Saccharomyces cerevisiae S288C: one gene and its partner. The protein of the gene in region 2 interacts with the protein of the main gene of each other region in a pairwise test. Each region holds a gene or a part of one and is shown on either strand. Other genes may lie near its edges.

Region 1 (3,759 bases), on a different chromosome or scaffold from region 2:
AGATTCACAAAGCCTGGGAATAGCCTCAAATATGCTCTGAGTTATTTTTTTATCCGACCAGCTTATGTGAGATCGTCCTTTAAGTTCTTCAGACTCAGGTATCTTTTCGAAAATAGCTATAAATAATTTGGAGCTTTCATTGATATTTTCCAAGTCCCATAAACTTGAAAGAAGCTTCTTCTGAATCAGGTCTGCTATTAAAAAAGTTAGATCTTCTGTTGTAAAGGGTGGCAAACGCTCAGCTATATTTTCTTTCTCTAAAATGCTAGATGGATTAGAAACATTGGTATAAAACCCACGTATTTTGGCCAAAAGTTCTTCGCAGCTTACTTCATCATCGTGCTTTAGTTTTGAGTGACTGAGAGGGAGAAGGGCTCTCTCGGGGATATAGTTTAACAATTTGTTGTACAAAGAAAATTTTTGGAGCTTATAAATATTGTCGAAATCTTTATCATTAGATGGAAGGGCCAGTAAAGTTAATAATATCAAAGGAAGGTGGCGTACGATAATCTCTTCGTCGTTTCCAATATTAAAATTTGTTAATACGAAATCCAAAATTTTTAGGTTTTTGATGTCTTCAAGTTCTTGAAATAGCTTTCCCCATATAATATTTGTTTCAGTATTGTCAAAGAAAGTACGTGCCGTTTTCATTATTTGTTCGTTTTGTTTAAATTTTTCCGAGGAATAGAGAAGTGGGATGAACAATTCAGGAATTACAAGTGAGCCAATTTCCCATCTATCCATTACTGCCATACTTATCCTGAATGCAGTTAACACGGATTCTTCTTCTGAAAGAAGGTCGCTTAAACCTTCTAAAAGGGCGCTTAATCCATATTTTGTAAAATATACATTACTTTCCTCGTTTGCTGACTTAACCGAGGTAGTATATTCCATGGAGTTCCCGCCGTTATTGTTTAGCATGCCCCCAGCAGTAGGACCGAGAAGCCAGTTCCATATTCTTCTGTTCAAAGACATATCCTTGCTCAAAGTAGTTCTACAACAACTCATTATCAATAACTTTTTATCCTCAGAAGTAATAAGAACATTCAAAACGGGAGAGTCTAGCCTCAACCTCTGTAATAAAAGGTCCAAAACGCTCCTTTTAATAAGAATATCATTTTCATCTTCTAAACAACCGACAAGGCATCGGATAAGTAGACCTGGTTCAGGGGTTACTAAATCTTTGGCAGCAGGCAATAAGACCTTGAAAGCTTCTTCTTTTCTTTTTTTCCTGTCTAGATGAGAATCGTTGGTTTCAGTTTCACTTGGGTTCTCTTCCGCTTCCATTTTTATTTTATTTACTAGATGAGGTACAGCATTCAACGACGGAAACTTTCTAGTCAACCACGTGAGTCCGCCCAGTCTTCTGCCTTTATTTGCAGTCATGACTAGAAACAACGTTTGCCAAAATAAGGAATCATCATCCAAGTTCTCCTGCAGAGTCTCAATGAGTTTTAAAGTTAAAGGTAAAAAATCGTTGCTTTCATCATCAATTCCTGGCAATAAACTAGAAATCAAAGGTCTGATGAGCAGTCTTAACGTTGTTTGAGGCAACAGAAGGATATAGTTATCGTAAAGCTCTATCAAATGTGACCTAACAGACATAGAGGCATAAGTCATCAAAGGTAAAATTCCCGGGATCCAAATGTTACATTCTGTAGCCAGAGTTTCAAGGCCAATATGTTCAAAGATATACGTATATACTTCTAAAGTTTTCTGATGAACACCTGCTGGTAACGCCGGCGATAATGAGGATGTCAATCTTCGACTTACTTGATATGGAGAAGGAACATAGTACCTTACATTCTGAAATTTAGGTGACCAGCTTTGCAACGCCTTTAATAGTGTTCCCAAACTAGCAATATAGTCCGCCCATTCTGTTACAGAGTCAAATCTTTCTAATGCTCGCTCGACATTAGCACGAAACTTCTTCTGTTTGGAGTCTAGTTGTTTATTATTTGAGTCAATTGTAAGGGGCTTTAGTGGTAAGGACATTTTTTGTCGATCCTCTCAGAAAAAGCTGCTCTGTCGGCTTTTTATTTCACCGTTATAAACATAATTGGGAGGCTTGAGTTTTATATTAGGTATTGCTATTGTTCCTTTTCCAGTGAGATCGAAGCTTAGCCTTTGAAAAAACCAAAATCACTTTTGATCACGTGCCTCGGGTGGAACGCCCAGCAAATATATAAGTATGTCGTTTATTAATAAAACGGTAATCGGACTCTAAATATTCCTTCTTTCAGCACTCGCTTATGTCGTTATAAAAACTTGATTAATTTGAGTAATTAGCAGTTTTTGCCGTAGGTATGTTTTTAGAATGTTCTTTTGCACAGTCAGAAGCGTTGTTACCCATAATTTCGTGTTGAGAATATTAAATAATTACGTAAATGATCTGCCAAATGCTGACAATGATTGAAAAATAATTTTAAAGTTTAAATAATGCAAAAAATTTGTGTAAAAAGAATATGTGTCAACCTAAGCCGTTCCATACAAATAAATTTCCATCCCATGCAGTTGAAGCCACATATCCTGGCTTTCCCCACAAGCTCCAGTCAGCTCCAAATACGAATTCTGAATGCTGTGTGAAATTGAAAATGGAACCTTTAGTAGCATCCGTAGAGTTAGTTTTATATGTTTCTTTTGCACCATCGTTGCTGAGATCTCTCCATATTCGACAGGTCATATCATATGAAGCTGACATTAAAATATTGGAATGATGAGGGGACCAGGTAACTTTTCTGATTGCCAGCCCGTGCGCATTAGGGATTTCATTGATGCATGATGAATTGTGAAGTTGGCCGGGCACAGTCCTCTTGATAGTCGCTGATTCATTTTTATTTAGCATCCTAATGTCCCAGATTCTAATGGCATTATCTACACCTCCTGTGGCAACTACATAAGGTCTGTATTTGTTGAAATCGCAAGTCAATGCTTCTAGTCCTGAATGCACTAAAAAATTATTCTGATTTTTGCCGGAAGGTAGTCTAATGTCAAATAAGCTTGCATAAGAATTCCCTGAACAGGATAATACGAGATTTTGGTCGTGGGGCGAGAACTGTGCTTGGTATACACAGTTCCTGTTTTTTGAAATACCTGTAAAGCTTTTCTTTTTCAATATAATGGCGTTTAATGGATCCACCATTTTGGTAATCTCTAAAGGTCGTGGAGTAAGGGTCATTAAACTTTGCTTTCTTAGAGGGGACCATATTTTTATAGATCCATCCCATGAACTACTTAAGAAATTCTGCCTGTTGACTAAGTTCCAATTACAACTGAATACTTCTCGTTCATGCTCTTTAAATATAGCAATAGGAAACTCTTTAAAGGTTGTATCAAACAAGCGTAATGTACCATCGCCCTGTGCAACCAACACTTGGTTTTCATGACTTTCGTTCCATGCAAGATCAAATAAACAATCCTGTGTTAAAAAGGAATTAACTTCCACTATTCTACCTGAACGATCAATCTCAAGGATGAACAATTTTCCATTCCCAACCAGGCCAAAGTTTGAACCAGCAGCTACCGCGAGCCTGTTATCGAAAAAGGGAGAATACTGGACACCGTACCCACTAAAACCTTGCATATGATATCTGAGCATGTTGTATAAATTATGCAAAAAGTTAGATGATAGTCCGTTAACAATATGAGATCTCTGCACTTTTCGAGCGTCGAATTCCAAATCAGAAAGAAAACGATTTCGACCTCCGGTAAAAGATTTTATGGTAAGAAAACACAGTTTGTGTTCCACAGTTCTTAAAA
Region 2 (3,759 bases):
TAAAATCATATCACGTACACGAAAAGACATATCCTTTCTTGTTGTTGATAAGGCAACTTTAGAATTGTTCAAAGAGTCATTTTTAGAGCTCACCAGAGATTGTACATAGTCGGATACAATGTCTAATGTTTCCGACGTGTATGATACAGTACCCAAGTGTATTTTCTTCAATTGCATATCATTCTGAGTAAGCGTCCCTGTTTTGTCGCTTAGAAGGTATTCAATACGGCCTAAATCCTCTGGAATTGTACTCGTTCTAACAATTGTTTCAGGAATGGTTTTATCGTGTTCGATCTGATGTGCATAAACACTTTTGGCTAAATCTAAATTAACTCTTAAAGAGACAGGGATGATGGTAGAAAACAATATCAGATACCTCAAAATGTCAATGTACCAGTCGTCATTGTGGAAACCGGCAAATGCAACTAAAAGAATTGACAGGGCAAAAACACATGCACAAAGAATCTTGGAAATACTGTTAATTTCTAGCTCTAATAAGCCAGTTTTAACCTTAGCTGTAGTTGTATTCATAGCTTGCCTAGTATCTCTGCCAGTGTAGACGACACAAGCAATACAAAATCCACTGGAAGCTAGAACAGTATTCGCCCATAGAGTATTATCTACAGACAAAGGGTTTGAAGTGGAATCCTTATAGGTAACTTTACCTAAAAATTTATGAATAGATTTCTCAGGAGCAGAGGCTGTTATACTAATTCTGTTAATTAAGTCATTTTCAGATAGATTTTGGGTCAAGGGACAGGCAACACGTAGTTTCCAGTCAGTCTCCCCATCTAGTTGGTCAGTTTTGATAAATGACTCGCCTGATGGTTCACTTGATTGTAAAAGAACCAAATCAGCGGGAATACGATCACCTTTATGGACTTTTATGAGATCTCCAACTTTTAAGTCTTTGCTTGGTATGGAACGATTTCTCGTTATTACATGATACAGTTCATTGTTTGACTCTCTATCACGTCTCCTTCTCTGAATATCATCTATAGCTTCCTTTGCCATGGTTACTGTCAGCACAAATGCTAAAGGTACAATATACGATGATAAATACCCTATTCTTAGTGCAGGAACGGCCTGCGATAATGCAACTACTAAAAAGTATAAATTGTAAAAGAATTTGAACTGTTCATATAATAGGGTTGGCACAAAAGTAACGGCATTATATTTGGCATTAGATAGTTCATTCGAAACGTATCTATTCCTATCGTACACAGGAGTCGTGTCTGGATGTATTTCTCTTTCGATGTGTTGATCACTGAGTTCTATGGGTGAACCAAACTTGGACCAGTTTTTTGTGTTAGATACTTTTAAATATGAGAGGGCTTTTGAAAAAATATTGTTTGAAGACGACGGTGGTGACGAAGCAATATTAGTAAATTTGAAATTATCATCCTGCGAGAGGCGATTATCATACATCAAAGGATGGGTATCTGTGTTTGAAGACTTACGATGCGAATCCGAAGAATGGTTAGAAAAATTGTCTAAATCATCTACTGTTCTCATTTCAAAACTTTCCCTATCTCCAACAGTGTTATGCTTACTAAGTGGTTCTGGGTTATTATTAATTTGTAAACTGTCTAAAGCAGCGTCAAATGAATCGTCGAGATGTAAGTCAAAAGAATCTACACTGTTTGCGTGTTGATTATTGTTGGAGTTGAATAAATTCTGCTTATGTGACTTAAATGAAGGAGGGTTAGGCATTTGTCTCTGAAGTTTTCCGTGCACACTGATACCCCTTTCTTTTTCAGATTAACGTTATGCCACACAAGTGCTCTGATTGTTACTTTTTCTCAATTGCTTAACGGTATATTGCTGTTAATAAGCTGATTGTTGAGTACTGTATAAGCTTCAAAAATCCAGATGAAATCTTTTATTGCGTAGATCAGGCTTCTAATAGCAGCAAATTCAGGTGAAACAATGCCTAAAATATTAAATAAAAAATAGGTATTGAGTAATTTTGGTCCTCGTTTTAAGTAACGAATGTGTCCGAAATTCCCAAGATGTCTAACCTTTTGTTTGGCAGTGATAGGTCTTAGCCACTGTGCCAGTATTTACTCTTTCCAACTGCCTCAAAAAGGTATGGCCTTACCTTCGTTTTTAATGACACGTATACGAGCCTTTGCTGTCTAATTAGTGGTAAAGTGATAATAGTGAAAGTAAAGTGGTTCTTTACCGCGTCTATATATATATGTATATGAATGCCCTAGTGTGCACATTACTAGATTATAAAAGGTATTATGGCGTAGGGGGCTACGTGATTGTCTTTAAATTTGTGCCTGTAATAATTTTTTGTTTCCAATGCGGATATAGTCAAACTTGTGATTACCCAAACTAGTGTTAGGTAAAATTCTTGTTCATAGGGCAACAGAGTAGAATAAATGATTATTTCATCGAGATAATGAGGACAGCATACCAACCTGAAAAGCCTTCCTGTTGGCAGCGAATATTTAACCAGATTGGCCAGAATAACATGATTTTTGTACTGATCCCAAGATGCTATGCAGAATATGATGAAAGCATTCATGTTTAACGTATTTGGAATGGAGTTCTTGTACAGTGATATATTAAGAATTAACAAGAGTACGGAATAGAACCATATACCGACTAGATAATGGGACCAATTCATCCTAGAATTGCTTGTATAATGTAGTACATAAAGCGTTTCATAAAGTCGGCGCAATGAGTGTCCAAATATGATCCAAACGATGGGGAATTTAGGATAGAAATATAAGGTGACTAAGGATAGAAAGGTAGCCAAATAGTAAAAATGGGAAAAATACGCCTTTGGAACTGTGAACTTCTTGATTCGTTCTAAAATGCTTGAGTACTTTGAATTCTCTTTGGGCCGGTAGGTTTTACCATATTGAAGAAATTCTGGTAGACAACTTTTTGCTATGAAAAGTGAGCAAATGCCTACAAAAAAGGATAATCTATAGGCATATATAGTATATTTTAGCAATTGTTCTTCATCAAAGTACATTGGACTGGTAGATTCTACGTTTTAAGCCAGATCGGTCCGCCGATAAACCTATTTATATTCCACATTTGGTATATTTTTACTTTTTCGAAACGTCCTTAATTCTCATTTTGGAAAAAAAAGAGAAAGCATAATACTGAATAGAACAAGGACCGAATTTCTCTTTACCGGTAGATTATGATTTATTTGGGCAAAAAGTTTTTTTTTTCATTCTATTGCAATAGCTATCATTTCAGGAGAAATGCTACTAATATGAAAAACCACTGATTTAAAAGGAATATTAAATTATTTAAATATAACCGATATGTACGCGTTACGTAAATCAGAAATTGATATGTATAATACGAGTAACGGTAAGGGAAGGGCATGAATAATATGCAGGACAGCATTCTACTGGTCGTTCCAGAATTTATATAACAAGTTTGCATATTTCTGCATTTCTTCGACTGAAACCAATAACTTGAAATCACATAGTATCAGGAATTGTAATTCTAAATGGTTTAACTCTTGCAAAGAAATACCTCCAACCTTGGCGTATCGAGAGTTACTGTAAAAAAAATCACTCAAGAACTTCGTGCAAATTGTGACACCTGTTATGAGCAATCTATGAATGTTCCCGGAGTCCATGACGAATAATTGCTTTGCGCAACCATTACGCTCAGAAGAATGCCCATAATTTTTGGAGATTCTATCGAAATATACAAGGAGAGAAAGAAAAATATCATTTGTGGTGGGACAGTACTTTTGAATTCTCTCTAAGTACTGAACAA

The links. The genes of interacting proteins can lie anywhere in the genome.
Region 1: the proteins of NEO1 (region 2) and DOP1 interact in binary tests that used the Saccharomyces cerevisiae proteins (3 or more experiments, as listed by UniProt).

What each region holds. Positions count from the first base shown.
Region 1 is NC_001136.10:738,003-741,761, forward strand, and holds the start of DOP1 (Dop1p), read right to left. Parts: upstream 1,996-3,759; coding exon 1-1,995. Other genes in the region: PEX7 (Pex7p), read right to left, coding at 2,471-3,598. UniProt on the Saccharomyces cerevisiae protein: Required for traffic between late Golgi and early endosomes, and for the normal structure and organization of the endoplasmic reticulum. Required for normal cellular morphogenesis.
Region 2 is NC_001141.2:259,391-263,149, reverse strand, and holds the start of NEO1 (aminophospholipid-translocating P4-type ATPase NEO1), read right to left. Parts: upstream 1,714-3,759; coding exon 1-1,713. Other genes in the region: DFG10 (putative polyprenol reductase), read right to left, coding at 2,231-2,992; PCL7 (Pcl7p), read right to left, coding at 3,380-3,759. UniProt on the Saccharomyces cerevisiae protein: Flippase that catalyzes the hydrolysis of ATP coupled to the transport of lysophosphatidylserine, phosphatidylethanolamine, and phosphatidylserine from the lumenal to the cytosolic leaflet of the Golgi apparatus membrane and ensures the maintenance of asymmetric distribution of phospholipids.